Linked DNA regions of Diceros bicornis minor. The main gene of each other region encodes a partner of the protein of the gene in region 3 in a complex. Links are inferred from orthologs where the notes say so. Each region holds a gene or a part of one and is shown on either strand. Other genes may lie near its edges.

Region 1 (8,384 bases), on a different chromosome or scaffold from region 3:
AGATGGGTGGTGTGGGTCCCTCAATGCGAAACAAACCTGGGCTGAGGTGGTGGGAGCGAATCTTAACCACTGACCTCCAGGGCTGGCTGTGAAAGGCTTGAGTCAGACAAACTTCGGTTTGAATCTCAGCTACACCTTTTATGAGTTAAATGATCTTGGGCAAGTGCTGTTAGTTTCTTTCATACTTTTCCTAGAGCAGAGCTTCCATCTGGTATGAAGAAGCATAGAGAGGCCATATACTGAATCTCGCAGCTTTCAGCTGGTGGGCTTAGACTATATGAACAGCCTCCTCCATTATCCCAACGTGCTACCATGTATAAGATGTTAGGAAGCACTGCCTAGAGGATGCTTCTAAAATCTGAAATCTATGAACCACCTGAAACTATGAGCAAAACTGTGTGCATAGATGCATTTTTTTCCTCTGAAGATAAATAGCTTTCATTTGATTCTCAGGATGAATATGAGACTCCCTAAAACGTTAAAAGTATTGTCCCGGAACAATGTATTTATCTCTTCCCCAACTCTCTTTTTTTATTCAGTAGTCCAGACAGAAAATATCTACTGAAGAGCTTAAAATTATATCCAACGTGATAAAACATGGGAAATACTACTTTCCGGCGTGTGTGACAGGCACTGTTACTGGTATTGGCGTCACTTCCTCATCAGGAAAATCCAATAAGCCTTTATTCAGTCTTTTTGTAAATATGAAAATGTATTTATTTCCTAAAAAGCAAATGTCTAGAAGAACCCTTAGAAACTTGTAGAGGCCTAACAATTACCCATCCAAAGTCTCTCAAGATGCTGTGGATTAAAACTGTCATGAAAATAACTTGCATTGTTGTATACTGACTCTATACTTTTCAGGCTACTAATATAATGGAATTGCTACCGTTAATGGTAGATGGAACAGAATGAAAATAACATGGACTAAGAAAGTGAATCTTTAAAAGACTGGAAGTACATATGGCCTATTTCAAATAGGTACACACTGGACAACTTAAACAGAGAAACTTACATACCATGGTCACGTTACTATCCAACTGTTGCGATTTCCAGTGACTTCTATGTCTGTTCACACTCTAGAGGAAGAAAAGTTAGACAAGTGATCTTCAGAGAAGGGATAACTGAAAAGAAATCAATTTCTATACAACATTCTAACAACCCTAAAACTTGGAAAATAACGTTTCAAACTGTGTTATGTCTAATATTACGATAATAATTTGGTAATTCATCCATAAATATTATCTTTATACTTCAGAATCAGGAATCTTATTTTTCCAACTACAGTCTAAGAACAGAAATAAATCTGAAGGAGGGAGGGAGGAGTTTAATTTAATTAAATGATTAAAGTACACTTACCTGTCGAACAGTTGAAAACTGTGCCACTTGTTGCTGTTGCCACTGAAGTGTGGGGGAATATCCTTCAGGAGCAGGCTGGCATCCTGACAGCTAGAGATCAGTTCACAAACATTAGAATCAATGTTAGTGGTATAACTAGAATCTCATGCCTCTACAGAGTAAAAGTAGAACCAAGAAGGAGAGTCAATAATAAGGGAAATGATTAAAATTATATAAGAAAGATTGTGTACTTTTTGCAGATGCAAAAAAGTAGGCATTTCACTTTACTATTTATGTCTGAGTTTAAAACATTAGGAAAAGATCCTTATATAGTCACTTTAACAAGAGCAATCTCAAATGGTTTATAGTTGGAGTTCCTAAGAAACCTAAATGATCTGAGCCCTGAAGATACAATCTAGGACTATCCTTCTATAATAGCAAAACAGTTTGAAACAAAAAGAGAAATAAAGAATTTTGGTATGGGCAGAATGTAGATAAATAATTTAAGACACTTGACTTTACAAGGGCTACTTATGTTTCCTAAAACAGCACACAGTTCACAACTGATCACATTTTGCCTTGAAATAAAACTTACTGTGGTCACTTTTTAAAAGCTAGGTATATAAGACATCATCTTCCACCATCTAAAAACTTCCGAAAGGAATTATATGACATATTATGGTGACTGAATTAAAATTTCGCGATTATAAACATCAGATTTCGAACATAAAAGGAAAAGGACTTATCACAATTTAAAAACCGCAGCTCTCCTCTGACCTTAGGTTACATAGCACCTTCTCAGAGACCTTCTGTGATTGCTCTATGTAAAGTAGTTCTCCCTGTTATTTATTAGTCATTATATATGTTAATCTTCTTCATAGTAATAGTCACAAACGTGTAATTAGTTAGTTTGTTTATTTGTTTACTCTGTCTTCCTCAGGAGAATGTAAACTCTACAAGAGTAAGGACTTTTCCTGTCTCATCCTCTGTTGTATTCCCAGTGCCTGGCACAACCTAGATGCTTAATAAAAATGTGCTGGATAAATAAAAGAATGAAAACGTTCACAGTGTGCAAGTAGCTGGAAAAGTGTAAAATATTTGGGTTTCCAAAAAGAAAACCTAGTCAAATTTAGAACATGCAAACTACACTAAATAAAACACCAGTCCAATAATTATGAAGAACTGGAAAAAGGTTCCTTAAAAACAAAACATAGCATAAATAACCTATTTAAAGACTCCTTTAGGATTGGATCATGTCCCTCAAGAATGAGCAAATCTCCAAGAACGCCAGGGTTACTGAAAGCCTCTTCGGAGGCAGTAAATGCCAACCATCCTTCTGAGGGAAAAAGTACAAGCAAACGTCTAACCTTGCAGGGTGCAGTCAAATCTTATCTACTTCATAATTGATACTGTCAGATATTATAGAAAGAGCCTTGGTCTTTTAATTTGTGGGGGTAAAAATATCCCCTGACAGGTAATAAAACTCACAGAAACATTCACACTTTGCTTCCTCTTCAACTTCTTTGGGTCAATTTGAGCTACCACAACATCTGGACACTGCGCTGCTTCGATCCTACAAATAAATGATAAATGCAAGAAATGTGATTACTATCGTGCTTTGTTCATGTGCAGTAAAACGAGTGATGCATTTCTACAGTTCATTACGAAATCAGAAGAAAAGTTCAGAACCGCAGTTGAGGTACTAAACAACACATTTCTGAAATTATCTGGGTTGAAACCAAGGAAATCTAAGAGCACACATCTTGACACAGGTAATCAGGTTTTACAGAATTAAGTTCATAGAAACGCGCCCACGTCAAGATGCAATCAGGGGATCTTGATCAGACCCCAACAGGCGGGAGACGAGGGCCGGCAAAAGAGGCGGGGCTTTATCACGTGAACACTGGGGTCGAGCGGGGCCCCGCGGGCAGGGGGACGACCAGCCCACCCGCTCCGGGCCGAATCACTCACTGGACCCGCCTCAAGTACTCCTGAGGCGTCCTCGGGGGTACGGAGGGATCGAAGCCTTCTGTCAGGTCACAGGGCTCCACTGGCAGCAGCCGGGGCATCAACTCTTCTACTGCCGACTCCACTGGTACCCACGCCATGGCTTTCAATCCAGCCAGTCCCACCCAGCGCATGCGCCAAGTCTAGGTTACAGCGCAGGCGCACAAGTAGGCACCTTTGGCGCGGAGTTGAGCGAGAGGCCGGGCGTAGGGGGCGTAATTGCGCATAAGCAAACATGCTGATTGTCTCAAGGTTAAGGCTCCGGTGGTGTAATGGAGACCGCGAATTTAGGTCCTGGCAGAAGGGGTTCTGAAGTACGCCTGCGTGGTATCCTCCGTTCTCTCTGCTAAGGTTCGGGTGAAGACTGCGGATTACCAACCTTTATGGGTCCGTAGTAGTGAGGGATCCTTAAATGTTTTTTGAATTAATGAGCGATATTACTGTAATGATCATTTATTGAGCTCTCAAGTTTTAAGCCCCCGGTAGACAGGTCACATACATTTCGTAGTGTAATGTTACTGCCACCTTTTGAAGTAGGTGGTATTACCCCGGTTTTGTAGGGGAAGAAAGCGACCGAAAGGGGGTAAGTCCTACAACTGTGCCTTTCTCCCAAAGGGGCGGAGCCACTTCCACCGGATTCATCTGACGCCAAATGAATGAAAAATTAATTTTCCAGAGGAATTTCTTGTACTTGGTTATTTCAAAGATCGCTTTATCTTTATCATTTCAGGTTTATCTGAAATGAATGTTACTCCTAGAGTAGCCGTCACTTTTTTCTTTTTTCAGAAAGGTCTCTTTGCTTAAATATAAATAGTGCAAAGGATAAAGCTAATGCCAACACCCGGGAGTTAGCATTATTAACCTTAGGGCGAATCTTGTGAGGTGGGTACTATTATCTCCGCTTGACAGGTGAGGAAACAGGGCAGAAATGGAGTAAGTAGCTTGTGCTGGGTCATAAATTGCAAGAAACAATGCAAGTGTTATGTCTCATTCTAAACAAACTCTGAGTGAATGCAATTGACTTATTTTCTAAGGTTTATGTTTATTTTTAAGGTCTTTTCTTTTTTTGAAGCACTGCCTTCAGCTTGCAAGCAATTGATTTCGAAACCAGAATGTCACTTTCTTGGTTGAAGATAAAGGGAGGACAGTCCTTAGGTTAAGAGCTGAAGAATTAGTGCTCATGAACGGTAACTAAGCAACTGGGAGACTTGGAGAGACACTGCCTGGCTGCAGTCAAACTGGGAAGTTACTTGGTTATAAATTTTACTGATTTTGGAAGAAACAGACTTAAAGAGAAGAAATATGGGAAGATACTCTCGTCCCCAAACTTTTTGGTTATAATCAAGAACAAATTAGAAAAGGTAAGCAGAGACTTCAGTTCTGGATTTCCTTACAAATATATATATATATATATTTTCCCTTATTAGCAATTTCTCCCCATTTTTCTGGAGAAAAGAACAGGTGATTACCTAGTAGACCAACCACCAATGGAACAATGCTTAACACCGGACTTTATGTATAAGTATGTGGCAGAACTACGCATGGATGAAGGAAGAAAGGAGAGGACTAGCAGAATGGAACAAAGGTTGTCCAGGAAAGAATAATAGATTATTCTCCAAAAGAAGAGGTGAGTAATAAAGTACACGAATGATTCTGAAATGGTTCTAAAATTTTAGATACACAAGAATGAATTCATTCAGGGGAGAGGAAGGTAAATTAAAAATTTATAAAGGTTGTTTTCTGCTACTTCAAACTAATCAGACAAAAGAATTAGTAGTGAGTTTTGGAGCAGATTTTTAATATGGTTATAAATTGGAAATTGCACTAAGTTTTTTTTAATGTTTCAGTGAGATATGGGACAGCTGAGAATAAGTTTATTTTGTTGATGAAGTTATTCTGAAAAAAAAAAGCTTAATTTTTGGAAAGCTGAACTTCTAAAACTATAAATACCATTTCATCTAACCTCCTCCCAGGAAGACTATTCCTAAGGTACTCAACTCCCTCTGGTGCCCCATTTTCAAGGATTTGCAGTCACTTCTCAGCTTATAAGGGAGAGATTTTTGTATTTCAGTATTTCTTACATTGGTGGTTGGCTGTTGGAGTTATATGAGCGTTGTGAGAACAGAACACTCAACAGCTGTTTATTGATGATGGTGGCTTCTGTTGTCAACCTTACAGAGCTAAATGCAAAAGTTGTCCCTGTGATTTATATCCCCTTAAGCAGCTCAGTTATTCTCAAATGTTAGTGTGTATAAGAATTATCTGGAGGAAATTATTTAAAATAGAGACTCTGGGGTCCTGTAACTCTCTCCTCCAGAGTTTCTGATTCTGTTGATTGGTTGTGGGGCCCTGAAGTGGACATTTTAAGAAGCATTTCAAGTGAGAAACAAAGCTTAGCCTATCCATTTTATCCTTTCCCTCCCTATTCTTTAAGATCTACTACACTAGAATTTCTTCTGTCTTATCCTACTTTCTCAGTTCTTTTTTCCTTGGCCACAATCTAAAATTTCACTTGCCTCTTTATGCCGTTAAACTTTAATGAATTTAGTCATCCAGTTGTTATTTATCGGTTTTCTGTTACGTGCCAGGCACTGTGGTGGGCAGGCATTGGGAGTGACAGTGGTGAGCTGCTTTTCTTGTGGTGCTTACAGTCCAGTGGACAGAGAGATGTTAACCAAACGGTGACACAGATGAATTTTAAAGGTTAACTGTGATAAGTTCTATTAAGGAACATTTCAAGGGAGGGGAAGAGCCTTGCAGTGTGGAGATAAATGAAGACTGACCAAATGAGAACAAGCAAATACTATTTATTCAGAGTTGGCTATAAGAAGGGAGTCAGCCTCCACTACTTGCATTTTGGCAAAGACTCAAAGGCAGGCAGAGAAGTAGGAAAGCTTATACTGGAAAAAAGGGGAGGCTGTTAGCATGAGAAAGCTGTAGGTGGCCTACTGTAGGGGAGGTAAAATTTCTCCTCTACTCTCTTAGGGTCTCTGGTTGGGCCTAAGAATTAAACTGACCTAAGACCGATTAACAGGAGAAAAGGATACAAATTTTATTTAGTATTTTTTACATGTACATGGGAACCTTGACAAGAAAAATCAAGACCCAAAGAGATTGGCGCCCAAAGTTTACATACTAGGTTGGACAAAAAATAGTAAATTGTGAAAATAGTAAATTGTGACAAGACGAAGGAATTTGGGCTAGGGCAGATAATTGTGGAAAAGTAAATGGGAAGATAAAGGTTACTTTAACAAGGTTTGTTTGTACAGATGTATCTTGGCCTTAACTCCCCATGTCAGGTGATAAGAAGGTCTTCCTTTCTCCTGGTTTAGAGAGGGCGCCTTTCACATGAGAGTTTTATCTCTTCTTTTCAAGAAGAAAAAAGATCAGAGCAGCTTTCTTGCATCTGCTGTTTTTCAAGTGCCTTTAACTCAAAATAATTAGTGTTCCAAAGTGGCATATTTTGGGGTGGTATGCCCTGAAACCCTATTCTGCCTAGAAGTGGGACATCCTATGAAATTGGTTAGGGGGTGCATGTTTTGCTTTCTCTGGTTGGTTCTAAATTGGAAGCAGGGGAAAAAAATTAGGAAAGCTGTCAATTATTAATGAAGTTCTGGCTATTTTGGGACAGTCATTACAGGGGTTATTGTTTGGCTTCTTGGATTGTTGCCAGCCTGGTTACTGTAGAATAATAGGTTGGTTTCCTGGGGTGATTGCTGCAGATTGTGGGTCAGAGTCCTTTTTTTATGTGTATGGTCTGGCCATTGTCTGTTTGTATATTCAGTCTCAGCAGGTAAAGGGAAGAGTTTGTTCAAGGCCTTATTGCTGGAGGAAGTAGGTCATGGTGGAAAAATTGGAAGGAGGTCAGTGTGGCTAATGCATAGAAGGTAGGGAGTGAATGGTGCTGGACAGGGTTGTGAGAAATGTAGCTGTATATAGTTAATATTTACGGAGTATCTTCCTACTGTGTGCTGGGGGCTGTCAATGCCCTTCAACCAGAGACCACCAGAATACTCCTGTAGTCACGTGGTTACTGAAACCAGGCAATGTCTCAGTAAGATGGGGTTAGAACTAACTTATATATTGTAGGATTTGGGCTTTGTTAGGTGATTTGGGGACAGTGGCGCTTTGCTGTCAGGAAACAGGGATAATTCTGAAGAGTCCAGCTCCTGGTTAAAAATCTATTTGTGGTTTTTCAGGCCCGACCAAAAGTAATTACAAAGACTTTACCCGGCAGGCTTCACAGGGGAAAACTGTCCTCCCCACGTTAGACTTGGTGCACCCAGCCAGTGCGTTGCAGTCTCTGAAGGAACTTGCAGTCAAGGACTCAGGCCCCCTGGCCGGCCATGCTGTTATGCACAGCTGCATTCCTAGCCCAGGGGTCTCCATTTGGAGGTCTCCTTTCCAGGAAACTTTCCCACTCTAACTCAGTACCCAGGACTTCTCCACTCCTAGTGCCGCTCTGCTCCCCCCCCACCCCCCACGCACCTGGTTTGATAAATCTGCAGGAGCCTCTTGTTCGGGGCTCCCTCAACAGTGAGATGACCCCCACATTTGTCCTGCTCCACCTGACCCTCAACCAGCACGCCCTTCCATGAGGGTAATGGAGCAGGGGGAGGCACTGATCACCAGGTTTAAACTCTTGCTTATACAATCACAGTAAGTGATGAGAGGCTTCACTGGACAATCTTCTTGATTTTTTTTTTTGAGGTAACACTGATGTATAACATTGTATAAATTTCAGGTGTACATCATATTTCGTCTTCTGTGTAGACTACATCTTATTCCCCACTAAAAGTCTAGTTGCTGTCTATCACCGTACATCCGTACATCCATCACCTTGTTACCACTTTTGCCCTCCCCTCACAACTGTCTTGATTTTGTCTGACTTCAGACACGATTACAGAGTGGTCTTAATTTTGTCTTGATCCTTCAGGGTGAAGAGGCTGCTTTTCTCTTTCTTAGGGCTGTTTTGTATCGATTATCTCATTTAATCATCACAATATATTGTTATCTTAAGTGGTAGGTATTATTGTTAT
Region 2 (8,101 bases), on a different chromosome or scaffold from region 3:
TCTTTGAAGACATGGACTTTGTGCAGTTCCCTCTACTTCAAAGACTCTTCTCCTCTTGTGAATTCCTGCTCATCTTTCAAGGTCAGTTTGATTCAACCTTCTCTGACCCCTGCCCACCACCCTCTCTGTTCCCCCTCTCTAGTACCCCCACTGCAACAATGCTCGCAGTTCCCAGAGACCACCGATCCACAGACCCCTTCCATTTTCTATTATTTACCCTCACCTGTCTTCCTATCCTTCCTCCCATGCAACACAGATTTCTTGATACATCATTATAATCACTCCTTTAAAAACACCCTTATCTCCTCTGTCCCCTCTCTCTCAGGTATATTTACTCCACAAAATCCCAAACCTGGCTGAATCCAACCATCTCCTTAGTCAGTTTGAGTAGTTTTCTTTAAAGTCATGACCATGACCCTTAGCTTGGCAGTCAACATGCACCAGTGGACCTACCACTTCCCTCAGGAAGTTCATCTTCCTATTCTCTGAGATGACTGTTTTCATACCTTCTTCCTGCATCCAGTTCCATTCCCACCCTGAACTTGACTTCACCTCTCTGACTTATACCTCACTGAGAAAATCAGAAGCCATCAGAAACACCATTCTCTTCCAACCAGATCTACAAACTTACCTGCACCGATTTCCATATTCTCAGCTCTTCTTTCTACTTGTGATCTGGATCCAATCCCCTCATGACTTCTCAACATCACTCCTGTATTCATATTTATCACTGTTTATCCCTGCAACAAGCTCTCCCTCATCTGCCTCATTTCCATCAGCACAAAAATATAGCCCTTTCATAAAGGAAAATGTTATCTTCCATTTAATACTCCCATATACCTAGTGCTTATGTCAAGTCTTCAAACTACAGAGAATGGACATCTTTGAGAGAGGAGTAAATGGAGTGGTGAAGGAAAGGGAGATGCCTACTCAGGCAGCTCCTGTAAAACAACCTTGGTGATCAATGAGGAGACGGACCCCAATGCCAGATCACTTTCTCAATGTAGAGGGAGAGCTGAGGACCAGAGAGACAGAGCTTAGTCATTTGACACTCTAAGAGTAAGTGTTATATCCATGGACAAGTACAGAGGGAGAAAAAGGCGAAAGAGGGTATTTCCCACATTTGGAGGTTGACTAAAGAAACCAGATATGAAGAATGAGGAAAGTACAGTACCATGGAAACAAAGGAAACAAAAACAGAGAGAGTAGGAGAGATAGTAAAGGTGTGGAAGTCACAGGAATGAATGATACCAAGGGCTCAGGGAGAGTGGTTAAAATCTTCAAATGGTCTCCTCTGAGGAATAAAGGACAGGAGAAGGTAAAACAAATGCGAAATATGATCATAAACAAAAATTATCAATACAGAGGGTACAGTACTTACCCAATGGCTACTAAGTCTTCATGATGAGGTGAGCAAGTAAGACAGAAAATTGTCCTGGGTTCTATAAAGAGGTGCTGGCTGTCATTTCTGTTAAGCCAGTAACAGAAAACTACTCCTTTTTCATCTCCAGATACTATTAAATCCTTTACTCGAGGAGACCAATGCAATGCTGATATTGTATGCTTGAAACCAAAACAAAAATACATTTGCTTCTCATTTGTCAATGCTGAATTTTTAGTTTTTAACCTGTACAGTACTAGGTACATGATAGGTATTTAATAAATACTGTTAGTACCACTTGTAGAGCAAGACTACATTAACCAAATGATAGGAGAATTTAGGCTACTGGGGATCAAAGAACCATTTTAAAAAATTTCTTCCTTTAATAGCTTAATGCAAAGTTCTTACTAAGATTAAGTGAGTCTTCTCCTTTCCAACATTATCTCAAAAGGCAGGTATATCAATTAATCAACTGGTTTAGAAATATGTTTCATTCACTCATTTATAGTTTACATCAAGAGTCTTTTTCATGTAAAGAACCAGATAGTAAATATTTTAGACTTTGTGGGCCACATTGTCTCTGTTGCAACTACTCAACTCTGCCATCGTAGCATGCAAGCAGCCAATACTTAAATTGTAGACAATACTTAAATGAATGACTGTGGCTGTATTCCAGTAAAACAATTTGCAAAAGCAGGCAGCAGTGTAGTTTGCTGACCTGGTTTATACGTATCTCCTTCCAAAAAAGTTTTGAGGCACCTTACAATACAGAACTTCTTATCTAATTAATGAACACAATTATAAAAGTTACTTGCACAGATGAGCTAGCAAAACTATACTTGAAGCAAAAGAACCCTCAGTACAGATAGATAATAACGGTCTAAGAAACCAGTAAGCCATGGTACCTGATGCAGTGCATGTTCTGTCACAACTGTTTTTGTCTCTACATCCCAAATTTTCACAGTCCCATCGTCAGAGCTGGTGGCACAGAGGTTGTATTGACCCGGGTGATGAGAAAACGTGAAGCCAGAGACCCTTTCGGTGTGTCCCACCAACTCCCCTATGACTTCAAGCAAAACCAGACTCCAGGTTAGAGCGTTACCTAAGATTTCTGGCAGAATCATACTGTCCTGAGATGATGAGTGGGATCTCACTTACTCTACTGTATAACAAAAATATCCAGGGAGTCACAATCAGAAACCCCAAGTGCTGGTATTGGCTCCACCACGTACTTCAGACAAGTCATTTTATCTCCTTGAGCCTGTCTTCCCAACTGCAAAATGCTGCTGACATCCCTTGATGAGCCCAGTTCTCAGGCTGAGAAGCAGCTCAAATGAACAATGTAAAAGTGATTCTTATTTAGATCTGGCCAGAGGTCGTTTGGAATAAAATAAGTATCTGGCATGCCATATCCCAAGGCATAATCAAAACCTAGTTTGGAACCGGAAAGCATCTGGCTCAAGTCACTTATCTTACAGAAATGAGTATAATATATTTGCAGGATCTTGCTTAAGGCCTGGAGATGTAGGCAGCCCCCAAGCCCAGGAAGGCTCCCAGGGGCCCGAGCTCACTGGGTGGGGGAGGCAGGCAGGCCAGCCATAGACGTTATAAATGCCTGGAATTAGACAAGGATAACTTTTCAGAAAGCGAGCGGTCCCACGTGAGAGCGCCGGGAGGCGGGACCGCTCGCCCAGAGTGGTGTAGCTCAATCTTGGAGACCTGGACGCGACTCAGCTCAGTGACTGTGAGCAGACCTTTCTCCCTGCCCAAGCCTCAGTTCCCCACCTGTAAAGAGAGGGGTGGCTGGAGACGCCCACTCAGCGCCCCCAGGGAACTCAAGAAGTGCAGGAAGGCTGAGGCCCAGAGAAGGAGAATTACCTCGAAATGGGGGCGTCCCAGGGATCGCGCCCGCGCCCGGGCCCACGCGGACAAGGAAGACAGAGGTCCGCGCCGCGAAGCCGAAGAGGCCCCCGGGCACCGCATCGCTGCATCGGGCGCAGTACCAGTTAGGGGAGGGCGGCAGCGTGCGCGGCTCCTGTTCCATGATGACCCGCCACCAGGGAAGAGGGAAGGAGCCGCTGAGGCAGAAGGTTCGTAGCCCCACGCCGTAGCCGGGAAGGGGGCGGGGTTGGCTCGGAGCCCCGCCTCCTCGGGCCTGCCGCTACGGCGCGCTCGGAGGCCCAGGCCGCACCGCGCGCTCTGCTCCCGCCGCCGGGGGCCGGGGAGGGCGGGGCCCCGCGCGTCGCTCTCTGCCTCCAACCCCGCCCGCGGCCGAAGGCTCTGGTGATGCCTGAGCCTAGCCCTGAGGTAGGCATTCTCGCCTCTTAGAGCAAGGTACATAGTTAAAGGGTTAGACCGGTGGAGTCACCTCCTCGCACTGCCGGTTTATTCTTTGGACCTGTTCAACCGCTATCCCATCAAGTATTTTTTTTTAACGCTACGTGCCAAGGCCCTTTGCTAACTCTGGAGATGTTTTAAAGATATGTACAAGAAGCCAATTAACAAAAGATAAAAAGGTCAAATCAGAAATCAAAAAGAGAAGGAAGAGTGTCTGCAACTAGGTGGAAATTCTGGCTCTGGGTTCTTGGTACTCAAGGAGAAGCAGAATGAGTGACACTCTTTTGATTTGATTGATTGAGTGCCAGCTCTGTGAAGGGCACTGTACATGGTAAAGGCTGTGGAGGAAAGAGAATGGAAGTTTCCTTCCAACGCAAACATGCTAAGATGCTCAGATTCAGCACTTAGACTCTCCTTCTGAATTACTTGTTTGCATTGGGTATCTAGCCCTCCTACATCCGTAGCAAATGAAACCTGAAATATCTCTCCTATTATAGTGAGGTCAAACAGATATTTGGGTGTGGGCAGCGGCACTAACTTTGGAGACACCCAGTCCTAGATTGACCACTGGTTTTGCCAGTTGTTATCTGAGAGACTTTAACTTATCCCATATCTGTTTCCTCATTTGAAGAAGGAAGATGATAATCCATGCCTTGTTGGATTGCTGTGAGGACTACAGGAGATTTAGTGAAACGCCTTTTGGGCATACATGGTAGCAAGTGCCCGATGAATATTAACTCATCTTTTGGACATCAACCTCAACCTGGAGATTAGCAGGGATTAGGACGTCATACTTAGTATTTGAACTGTTTGTTCTTTAAAAGAGCTTTCCCACGATCTCTAGTGATCTTTACGACAAGCCTGTGCTGTAGGGATACTCATTTCTGACTGTTTTACCGACGAGAATACTGAGGCCCACCCAGGTTAGGTGGCTTATTCACGGTCTCTGTTTTCCTAATCCTTTAGATCATTTGTGAGGTAAGGCTTCGCAGTTTTTCTGGATCCCGATGAATTTCCGGAAACTCGCTACTTTTAGGCCTTTATTAAGTCATTCATTCTCAAGCAAGGCTGGCCGGACCACACTTAAGCGCCGGCCGCGTGTTCACGGTCTCCATGACAACACAGGTATAGGTACTGCTGGGTCTCCCGACGGGGAGGAAATCCGGAGAATTGCGCATGCGTCTTGTCCAGACGGTGTATGAACTCGGAGGCTTCCGTAGAGGGAGGGACAAAGATGGCGGCGGCAGTACTGGAACGTTTGGGTAAGGATTTCTTTAGTAGTTAAGGGATGGAGGAAGGGAGTGGAGGTGGGAGTCTGAAGTGATGGCTTGTGTTGATATTGCAGGTGCGTTATGGATGCAGAATCTGAGGGGGAAGCTGACCTTGGGGTAAGTTTCTCGCCTCGGAGTTGCAGAAGGGCCCGAGGCTTCCTTACTAGTCTGTCAGTCGATTACTGAGCGTGTGTGCCAAGGTCTGCTCTAGGCTCTGGGGCTAGCGAACAAGAGAGCCAGTCTCTGCTTTGCCAACCCGTTTTTTCCCCGCCGTGTTGCATAGCCCTGCGGAGATCAGGATTACCCATTATCCAAGGGACGTTGAAAATGTTTTTTCTGAACAGTCTCTTTTGATCTTTCTGGACGTGGTTAGACTCTCCCAACCATGTCGGGAGCGTGCAGCTTTTCTAGTGACCTCTCTCGTTACTTGCTTACGTGAGCAGGCACTGTATTGTAGACAACCGCGGTTTACATCGTGCCTCACATTGAGTTAAGCTCCTTATACGCATTACCTCATTCTCGTAACGTCCACGTAGTGTAGTACTGCTATACCCATTTTTCAGACAAGGAAATTGAAGCCCCCAAAGTAAAATAAGTTGCCCAAGGTCCCCCAGTCATAGGAAGTTTTGAAGCTTTATATTATACTCTCTAGAGCATTCTTTGACCTCAGGACAAAAGCATTCTTTAGGATTAGGAAATGCAGTTGAGTCAGTACTGGCAAGAAGCCTTTCTCTGCTCCCCTCTCATTGTTCCTTGTCAGCAGTACAGCTGTTGATATTTGGAGATTGATAATCTGATTGTAAATATTCTGATCGGGGCATTTGTTAGCATTTATTGTGGTTTAGTTCGTGGGCTTTGGAGACAGAAAAGTTGAGTGTGAATCCACTTCATAACTCTGTAATTTTGGAACAGTCACTTATCCTTTCTAAGCTTTGGTTCTTTTATATGAGTAATGTTAGTACCTACTTCATAGATTTTTTTATGGAGATTACATGAGATAGTGCATATGAAGTGTTTCGTATAGTGGATGGCATATAATAATCCCACCTTAAATCCTAGCTGCCATTAGTGGTTTTGTCGTTGTATATTATTATTTATAATATTTTTATATTTATAATATAAATATAATATATTTAAAATAATATAAATATAGGTATAAAATAAATATAAAAGATAAATAAAATAAAATAAAAAATAAATAATAAAATATAAATATATTTATAATATAATATAATATATTCCCATTATATTTAGCCCTGTCCTAGATTCTTGGGTCAGGGATGAAGAGGTGGGCTAAAGAAGAAAATGGGAAGCACTGGCCTTTAGAATTCGTCTTCACTTTGCTTTCTTAGATTATTTTCTATCACTCCACCCCAGCCATGCCGGTTTACTTACTTTTTCTGAAAATGCTGTGCATTTACTTACTTCTTGGCTTTTTCATGCTGTGCCCTCACTTCCTGTCTATAACAGCAGTCCTCATTATTCAAACATCTGTGGAAATGTTTCCCCTTCACAAGATTTTCTCAGATTTCACTAAAAATGGAAGAAATTAATTTCTCCTTCCTTTCAGCATGTGTTCTTTGAATAATGGCTTCACGTATATGTGTCTGTGCCCTTTACTAGCTTGTATCTCCTGGACAGAGGGACAATTCTTGTTTCTGTTTGTAACTCCAACATAGGATCTTGCACAAAGTGAATATTTTGTTAATTTTTGTTGATTTATATTGTCCTGCACTGACTTATACTGGGAAGCTCTGAGCAGGTAACTTAAGCAGTTTGACTTCAGTCTTTTCATCTGTGTAATACAAGACGGTTGGATTTTGCTACATGATTTCTAAGTCTCTTTTTAGTTCTGAAGTTATATAATTTTGTGAATCCGCATTCTGGACTTTCTAATGGGGAAATGATTATATAAAAACTAAGTAGAAAAGGTATAAAAAATGTTCATGATGACCATGTAAAATCTTAGAGATCATCTGTTTCAGCAGTTGGGAACCTAATTGCATATAGATACCAGACAGCTGGTAGAAATCAACGAACCAGGAGAGGTGAGCTGTGTAAAAGGAGAGAGAGTGGTAGGGCGTGTGGCAGTCAGTAGGGTGCATTCTTCATCTAAAGGCATTTTATTGGATTAAGAAAAAATGCTGCTGGCCAAGTAAAACTTTTCTGTAGGCTGTATTTGGTAGCTGACTGACAATTTGTAACCTTTAAATTCCGAGTCTCCCATTTTCCTGATGGATGCACTTGGGAAGTTTTGTGACTTACGGAAGGTTACACTGTTAATACAAGGCAAACCTAGGATCTAAACAAAAAATTCTCTGGCTTTGAATAGTGCTCTGTCACACCATGGGAGAGACAGAGTGAGGGGCCCAGAAGGGGTTTGTCAGGGGAGTCTTTTTTTCGGAAGAGGTGATTTTAAAGTTTAAGTTTAAAAAGTGAAGAATAGGGGCTGGCCTGGTGGCGTACTGGTTAAGTTTGCGCACTCTGCTTTGGTACCTGGGGTTCGGATCCTGGGCGCGGACCTGCAGGCTGCTTATCACACCATGCTGTGGCAGGTGTCCCACATATAAAATAGAGGAAGGTGGGCACAGATGTTAGCTCAGGGCCAGTCTTCCTCAGCAAAAAGAGGAGGACTGGCAACAGATGTTAGCTCAGGGCTAATCTTGCTCACCAAAAAAAAAAAAAAAAAGTGAAGAGTAATTTTGGTGGTTTAGAAATAGAAGAGCTAGTGTAAAAGTTTGAAAGCACTAGTGACTAAACTGTACGTAGGTTAAAATTCTCTGCAAGAATAACCAAGTTGGAAATGTCATGAATTAGCAATTTGGTGGAAAAATGATGACAACAGTGTGATATAATTGAATCAACACTGGGCTGCAGGAGATAGAGCTGGATTTCGGATCTCTGCAGCAGACAAATATTGTGGCCATGTGCTTAACTTCTCTGAAGCTCAGTTTCCTCATCTTAAAAAATGAAGATAATATCTACATTAGAGGGTGGTTATGAAAAATAAGAGACTAATATGTAAAACGTCAATTAAAGTGCCTGGCACTATGAAGGTGTGGTGGGGATGATATCACCATGAAGTTCTTGCAAAGGAATCAGATTTTATGCT
Region 3 (7,962 bases):
GCTGGGCCAGCAAGAAGCCCCCATGCAGAATAGTCATTTCTTCACAGATATTCAAGGGTCCTGCACAGAGAGAAGCCAAATAAGATAAGAGTGTGGTGAAAAAAATTTCAGAATAGTAAGCCGAGATTAGAGGGAGAGACAGCAGTTAGTAGGCTGGCTGTCATTATCAGGGTTAGAGATGATAAGGGTTCTAAATGAAATCAGTGGGAGAGGGGGAAGAAGAGATGGTTCTAAGAGGCACTGCAGAGCTGGAGTCAAAAGAACTTAACCTGAGGAATAAAAAGGACTCCCCAGTTCTCTAGCCTGGAACTGGGAAGACAACAGGTACCACTGGAAATAGGGAATGCAGGAGAATCAGAACAGGTTTGGAGGGAACACTGTTTAGATTTGGTTATTTGGAGTCTGGGGTAGAACATTAAGGTAGAGACGTCCTCCAGCAATGGAAATGTGGGGTTGACACTCATGAGGAAAGTCAGCCCTGAAATGTGACTCAGAGAGGTGTCTGCCCAGAGGGGATCACTGGAACCAAGGAAGTGAGAGAGATCCTGCAGGAAAAGCAAGTGAAAAGGAAAAGCTCCACCTCTGAGGCTAGGCCCTCCAGCAAAGGATGGATCAGCAGAGGCTCTGGGGAGGAAGGGCTGAGTGAGAGAGAGAGGAGAATAGCACAAAGACAATACCCAACCGCAGGGGCCACCAAGTACATACTGCAGGACGTGACAAGTGAGCTTCTAAGTAAGGATACAGACTAGGAGAGGCACGGAAGCAATCAGACAAGCACTTTTCTCTTATAGCCTTGTCTTGCAAACAGATTTCAAACGTTCTGCCTTTCATGGAAACAGTTCACCCCACGGCTCTTTCCATCAAAGAGAACAAGCTACTCATGGCCCTGGTTCTCTGGTAGAAACCAAGAGGTAGATACAAAAAAAAATACTGCACTAGATTAAGAAAGAAAAGTCCTTCCTTCAGTGAGCCATGAATCGACACAGACTTATCAAGGAAGGCATCTTGGGATGTTTAATGAGACATGGTTTTAAATCCTAGCTCAGCCATTTAAAAGCAGTGTGACCTTGGACAGATGACTTCTCTGAGCTTCCCTTCTGCATGTGGGGATAATACAGACTTCATATTATGACTGTGAAGATCAAATGCTCTATACTAGTCAAACCCGTGGCAGTGGGTTGGTGCTCACTGTTAGCTCCCAATCCCATCTGCCAGGTCTGCCAAGGGTTAAATAAGCTATAACTATGATAAGAGTCAGGCTACAAAGAGCCCAATTAGGTGCTCAAAAAACATTGCTTTCCCCAAACCTTTCTATTGTTGGCAGGACCAGAATCTTGTCACTATCTTTTGCCTCCCCCAGCTCAGAAACAAAAAAGGACACAGGTCTTTCTCAGGTTTGTTTACGTTGGCCCAGAAACCAAATCAGAGCACAAACACTGCTCACTATCCAGTATTTTTTTTTATTTTTATTTTTTTGTGAGGAAGATTGGCCCTGAGCTAACATCTGCCAATCCTCCTCTTTTTGCTGAGGAAGACTGGCCCTGGGCTAACATCCATGCCCATCTTCCTCCACTTTATATGGGACGCCGCCATAGCACGGCTTGCCAAGCGGTGCATTGGTGTGCGACCGGGGTTCAAACCGGCGAACCCCGGGCCGCGGCAGGGGAGCGCGCTCACTTAACCCCTTGTGCCACCAGGCCAGCTCACTATTCAGTATTCTTAACTTTTCATCCCCATCCCCCCACCCCCGTTCCCAGGACCCAGAGATGCCACCCCTTCCTCACTCCCTCATGCCTCCAAGAATACATCTTCCCCATTTTCACACCCCAGGAGGCGAGAAAAAATCCAGATTCCAGGAGACTACAGAATATCCCACCCCTTTGACCATTTACAGGAGCAGCAAAAGGCCAAGGGATCAGCCCTCCTATGCAACCACTAGTGAAAGCAATCCACCTTGGCTCCCAGTGGCCAAAGCAGACTCCCAGGGAGGGGTAGGTTGCTGAGGGGCTCTGGCCCTTCTTTCTTACTCAGGCTGCTCTCCCAGGGCCCTCATATATGTTCCCTTATGACTCTGTAAATTTAACTTTATTGCATTATCAGCTCAACTGAGATGTTTCCCCCAACACCTAGCTTCCAGAGACATAATCCATAAGTACATACACGTGCTACTTGAAGGAATAAGTCCCAGAAGCAGTTTATCCCTGGGCAGATCCCAAGTGTTTTATCACTGCTGGTTAACCGGTGCTTGTGAGTGCCCACTGATCATGTTTATTAAGTGGTTACTCCATGCCAGGCACTGTGCTAGGTGGTATGCATGTAAGATCTCTCCTAATCCTCAAATCAACCTTTTGAGGACTATTCCTGTTTTAGAGATGGAAACGCTGAGACTCAGAAACAATTTGCTCAGGATGTCGCAACTAAAAACGGTAGGTCTGGGACAGAAATCACCACAGCTGCAGGACTCTTGCAGCTCTACCGTCCCACCACTGAAGAGCTGTCTGGGGACAGGGACCGGAACACTTCTCCACAGCCTACTATTACTGGCGCATCTTGGGGTACCTCCCCCAGCTCTCCCAGAACAGCCGCCTGTCTTATCCCCTTAAGAGCTTGTCCAGCAGGGTGGGAAGCTGGGCAAAGAGCCACCGATTTATACCAGCGCCCCGCTCCCTTCTCCTAGACCTTGCCTGAGGATTCTGAGTCAAGATGCACGTGCCCGACGGCTGCTGCAACCCCTCCCCACAACTGCTGGTCTGATGATCGCTAGCTCCGCGCAAGGCGCCGTCCCAGACGCTGTATACACGTGATCTCCACGAAAACCCCTCAACTCCGTGAGGCGGTTACATTATCATCATCCACGTTTTATCAGTGAGGGCCTCATGAGCCTAAGACACTTGCTGAAGCACACAGTAGACGTTCAATAAATGAGACCGCCAGGGCATCCGGGATTCCCCGGGGCGCCCTCGAGTCCGGTCCACTTTCAGGAAATCTAACTACACATCCGCTTGGCCTTTCGCGTGGAAAGGGGCCCGGAGGGCGAGGGGCCGGCCAAGCAGCGGCGGGGCCCGGGCTAGAGCCCGGCCTCCCGACCCCCGCTCTTCGAGGACACCCATCCCCAACATCCCCCCGACCAGGAGGTCCCCCTTGGCCCGGGCCCGCTCAGCACCGCCCCGGCCGCCCGTCGCGGGACGCGGCCCAGGCGGGCCCGGGACCGGGCAGCCGGGACACCCACCTAGGTCCATGGCGGCGACGCTAGCGGCAGCGCGGGGCGCCCCTCCCCCCAAGGCCGCGAGCGCGGCGCAGGCGCCACGGCACAATGGGCAGCGGGGGGGCGGGACAATAGGCCGCGCCTCAGGCACCGCCCCCAGTCTCAGCTCGGGCTCCGCGCGGTCCGCACAGTCCTGCCGCCGCTCGGCGCGCACGCGCGGTCCTACCAACGAGCCCGCGGCCTCGAGGCCGCCGGGCCCGCAGCGCCCCCTATCGGCCCGAAGCCTCCAACCAGCCGACAGGCAGGTGCCTGCGCCTCTCTGCCACCGCGGCGGGCCCGCCCTTCCCTCTACCCGGTCCCTGCCCGCCCCCAAAACGTCTGGCCCCGACCCAGGCCACCAGGCCCGGCCGCCTTGCTTTCAGTGCTCCGCTCAGCCACGCATCTGTCCAGTCCCTTGCCTAGCCCTGCTTCTCGAGTCCCGGTCGATCCTACCCTTTAGCTCCGTCCCTGGCCCCGCATCCTCCCCGACTCGGTAATCCCCGGGATCCCCCCGCACACAGTTCACCCAGACGGAATGCCTCTCCCCAGGCTGCCTCCCAACCAGCATAGACGCGCCATGCTCTGAGAGGCTTCGCCCCCCGCAGCGGGTCTGCCCATCTCCGGCTCGGAGCCGCCTAGCCCCACAGCCCACAATCGCCCCAGTGCTCGGCCTTCAGACAGCAGCAGCAGCTCCTTCTTTTCTGGCATCATAGACTCCTTTGAAATGTTAATGGTTGTCCTCCCCAGAAAATTCGAGCAAGAACAACTGTGGGGGCAGATCCAGTCCAATGGACTCCAGTTTGCAATCTGTACTTTATAAAAACACACATTTGATTTCTGAGAAAACACACACACAAATATCCTATGGGCTTCTCACACGTTACCCTGTTTCCTTTTCTCCCTTTCCCTTCTTTCCAGACTTAACTACCAGCCTCAAGCGTTTTTAACTCTCTCCCCTCCAGCTTCTAGCGCCAGATACCACCTAGAAAGGACAGAGGGGCGCCGCCTCAGCTCCTGCAATGTGCCAGGTGGAGTTTGAGATGGCCTGTGCTGCTATCAAGCAGTTGAAGGGACCTGTGAGTGATCAAGAGAAACTGTTGGTGTACAGCTTCTACAAACAGGCCACCCAGGGCGACTGCAACATCCCTGCCCCGCCCACCACAGACGTGAAAGCCAAGGCCAAGTGGGAGGCATGGAACCAGAACAAAGGGATGTCCAAGATGGACGCCATAAGGATCTATGTTGCAAAAGTGGAAGAGCTGAAGAAAAACGATACTGGTTAAGGAGGACAGAGTGTCAGTCAGACCGAAGTAGCACGGCGCCTCTGGTAGGGAAAAGGGCTTCTTAAAAGACCTTGATGGCTGAAATGTCCTGAAACCATAACAACCATAGCTGAGACATCAATAAATCACTTAAACTGCATGGGAGTGATTGTCTGCTGTTGGAAAAGTGATAAACTCAAAGTCAAGTTACAGCACAAAGGGCAGGATCTGCTTGCTGCAAGACAAAAGCCAATCATCAAGAGGCAAGATGGTGGAAAAGAAAGGGCAGTTTATCACATCTTGTTAGCAAGGGGGAAGATGGCTGACTAATGTCTCAAAGAACCATCTTAAGGGGGCACAAAATCTTACAGCAGTTATATAGGCCGGTGGGGTATAGGGGAGGGGGTTAGGAATGTCAACCCTCAGACTGGGAGTCGCCACACCAGATCTTTCAGTTTCATTGATGATGGCTATCAGCATAGACTGTCTGTAAGGGGGTCATCACATTCCTAAGGAACTCAAAAGAACAAAGTTATCATCTCATCACAGCTGGGAGGTACATGCACAAGCAGGAGTTGTAAAATCTACAGAGCGGTTACATCTCCTGGAGGGTGCATATCCAGTTGGGCTAGTCAGAGGCCATTAAAAGTTACAACAGGGAGGGCCGGCCCCGTGGCTTAGCGGTTGAGTGCGCGCCCTCCGCTGCTGGCGGCCCGGGTTCGGATCCCGGGCGTGCACCGACGCACTGCTTCTCCGGCCGTGCTGGGGCCGCGTCCCACATACAGCAGCTGGAAGGATGTGCAACTGTGATGTACAACTATCTACTGGGGCTTTGGGGGGAAAATAAATAAATAATATGAAAAAAAAAAGTTACAACAGGGTTTCTTTTCTACAATATGGCTTCCCTTATGTCAACCTTGTCTTGAGCTGGTATCGGTGACTGTGAGAGTCCTAGGTAGGTGTCCACAATATATAAAAAGCATCTCTTCTCTGGGAAAAGTTCCATCAAAACTGGCTTTGTGTATGATTCTGAGTAAAGAGTTCCCAGTCTTTCTATTCCCAGAGCATATGTAGACATCTGGCAGGAGTAGAGGACTGGGGGGGAGAATCATGCTATAAAAATGCCCAAGATTTGAGGTCAGTGAGCCATTCTCCAGAGGCTCAGCCTCTGCGGGAGGGGAAGGGAGGAGAGGAGGCCGAGGCCCCTAATCTCTTCAGGGGTTATGGATTCACTACTAACCCACCGTTACAGAGGGGAAAGGAGCTTTGTCTTCCAAAAAGCTCAAGTCAAGTTCTATTACCAAAAGCCCCTACTAGAATACAGTCCTGATGAAGTTAATGTTTTTTTTTTGTGAGGGAGATCAGCCCTGAGCTAACATCCATGCTAATCCTCCTCTTTTTGCTGAGGAAGACCGGCCCTGAGCTAACATCTATTGCCAATCCTCCTCGTTTTTTTCTTCCCCAAAGCCCCAGTAGATAGTTGTATGTCACAGTTGCACATCCTTCTAGTTGCTGCACGTGGGACGCGGCCTCAGCATGGCCGGAGAAGCGGTGCATCGGTGCGTGGCCGGGATCCAAACCCGGGCCGCCAGTAGCGGAGCGTGCGCACTTAACCGCTAAGCCACCGGGCCGGCCCTAAGTTACTGTTTTGAGGGGAGTCAAACTTTAAGTGAAGTAACTGATGCACCACAACACAGAAGCTGAGAAAGACTGGAGCAGATGGTTTCAAAATCCCAGCCTCTGAAAGACTCATCTGAGGCCACGCAGACAAAAGTTTCTTGGGACTACCCTGTAGCTAAGCCTGGTTTCTGCTTGGGGATGTTTGTGGGACAACACGTATATATATGTATATGGGTTTTGTTTTATGAGCACAACACACCCCATGACCTATGCAAGGGCCAAAGTACCTGAGCTCAGCTTCCACTCCTTATCACGGAGGCATCAATGCACAGTGGTGCACTGGGATATGGAGTACTAAATGATATTCAAGACATTTCAGGGAAAAACATCTGCCATGGCATAGAATTTCCTAATACTTTTCCTCAACTAAAAACTATTTTCAGGGCCAGCCCAGTGGCACAGTGGCTAAGTTAATGTGTTCCACTTTGGTGGCCTGGGGTTCATGGGTTCGGATCCCGGGCACGGACCAACACATCGCTCATCAAGCCATGCTATGGCAGCGTCTCACATACAAAAAATAGAGGAAGACTGGCACAGATGTTAGCTCAGGGACAATCTTCCTTAAGCAAAAAGAGGAAGATTGGCAATGGATGTTAGCTCAGGGCCAATCTTCCTCATAAAAAAAAAAAAAAACCTATTTTCATAGCTATCAGGGCAGCTCCAGTTCATGAAAAACCATTAAACAATAGAAGCAAAAACCATAAAGACTTCGGAGGACAAAGAAACCAAATCTCACCAGATCTCTTCAGATCTTCTGTTCACACATTTGCAGGAAGCTGCTATAAACTAAGTACATTACTTAAGAATGAAGTATACCCAGGACACCAGTGACTAAAAAAATATTCCTTATAACTATAAACTGGGCATGATCCACACTGTACAATAATTGTGCTGTTTTCTTTTCTTTGGAGGATGTTATGAACACATTTTGATGCTTTTAGGACCATGATTAATATTAAATGTGAATTAATAGTAAAAATAATAATGGAACATCTTGCTCCAAAATATGGCGTCAATTTAGGAGCTGTAGGTATAGCCACATCATTCTGTAAATCATTATAAAACCTGATAAAGTGGACCATAATTAGGACTGCAGAAAGCAACTGTAAGATACATTAAAAAAAAAAAGCAAGGTATAGTTCACACAGTGTGCTAAATTTGGTGGGAAAAAGGGAGAAATAAGAATACACATATTTGTATGCTTAGTAAGTAGAAGGCAGTGGGATTGATGGGGATGGGTAGGAGCGAGACTTTTCAATGTATACCTTTTTATGCTGTTTTGATTTTTGAACCATAGACTCTACTACCTTAGAAAGAGGTCTGAGGCAAGGGCACTTCTTTATTGATCATTAAGGCCAAAGTAAATTCTCTATAGATTTCCAAGGGTAAAGGTAAGAAATCTTAGACCAAATTGAAACTTCCCATTAACTCTCATCATAAATTTCCATGGAGACAAGTTGGAGACCTCCAGAAAACTCTGCTAAACCACAATGGCACTGCGGGACAAATGAGATGGGCAGAAAGTCAGGAGCACTGAATATCCATGGCTTTGCTAATTCTACCAAGATGTCAGGCAAATATGGATTTCATACTAACTATCCAGGCTAACCAAGGAGAACTCTTGCAACACAGCCATCCTAAATCTCTCTGGATTTAAATCCAAGGGATAGGGCCGGCCCCGTGGCTTAGTAGTTAAGTAAGCGCGCTCCACTGCCGGCGACCCGGGTTCGGATCCCGGGCTCGCACCGATGCACTGCTTCTCTGGCCATGCTGAGG

The links. The genes of interacting proteins can lie anywhere in the genome.
Region 1: GEMIN4 (region 3) and GEMIN2 share a complex: the UniProt entries of both Homo sapiens proteins name them as parts of the SMN-Sm complex. The link is inferred for Diceros bicornis minor from reciprocal best matches to the Homo sapiens genes GEMIN4 and GEMIN2.
Region 2: GEMIN4 (region 3) and GEMIN5 share a complex: the UniProt entries of both Homo sapiens proteins name them as parts of the SMN-Sm complex. The link is inferred for Diceros bicornis minor from reciprocal best matches to the Homo sapiens genes GEMIN4 and GEMIN5.

The regions. Positions count from the first base shown.
Region 1 is NC_080744.1:11,013,625-11,022,008, forward strand, and holds the start of GEMIN2 (gem-associated protein 2), read right to left. Parts: upstream 3,480-8,384; coding exon 3,310-3,479; intron 2,912-3,309; coding exon 2,827-2,911; intron 1,450-2,826; coding exon 1,360-1,449; intron 1,080-1,359; coding exon 1,020-1,079; intron 1-1,019. UniProt on the Homo sapiens protein: The SMN complex catalyzes the assembly of small nuclear ribonucleoproteins (snRNPs), the building blocks of the spliceosome, and thereby plays an important role in the splicing of cellular pre-mRNAs.
Region 2 is NC_080740.1:71,286,702-71,294,802, forward strand, and holds the start of GEMIN5 (gem-associated protein 5), read right to left. Parts: upstream 3,480-8,101; 5' UTR 3,426-3,479; coding exon 3,260-3,425; intron 2,448-3,259; coding exon 2,287-2,447; intron 1,564-2,286; coding exon 1,382-1,563; intron 1-1,381. UniProt on the Homo sapiens protein: The SMN complex catalyzes the assembly of small nuclear ribonucleoproteins (snRNPs), the building blocks of the spliceosome, and thereby plays an important role in the splicing of cellular pre-mRNAs.
Region 3 is NC_080757.1:16,807,878-16,815,839, forward strand, and holds the start of GEMIN4 (gem-associated protein 4), read right to left. Parts: upstream 3,284-7,962; 5' UTR 3,240-3,283; coding exon 3,230-3,239; intron 61-3,229; coding exon 1-60. Other genes in the region: diazepam-binding inhibitor-like 5, read left to right, coding at 4,264-4,527. UniProt on the Homo sapiens protein: The SMN complex catalyzes the assembly of small nuclear ribonucleoproteins (snRNPs), the building blocks of the spliceosome, and thereby plays an important role in the splicing of cellular pre-mRNAs.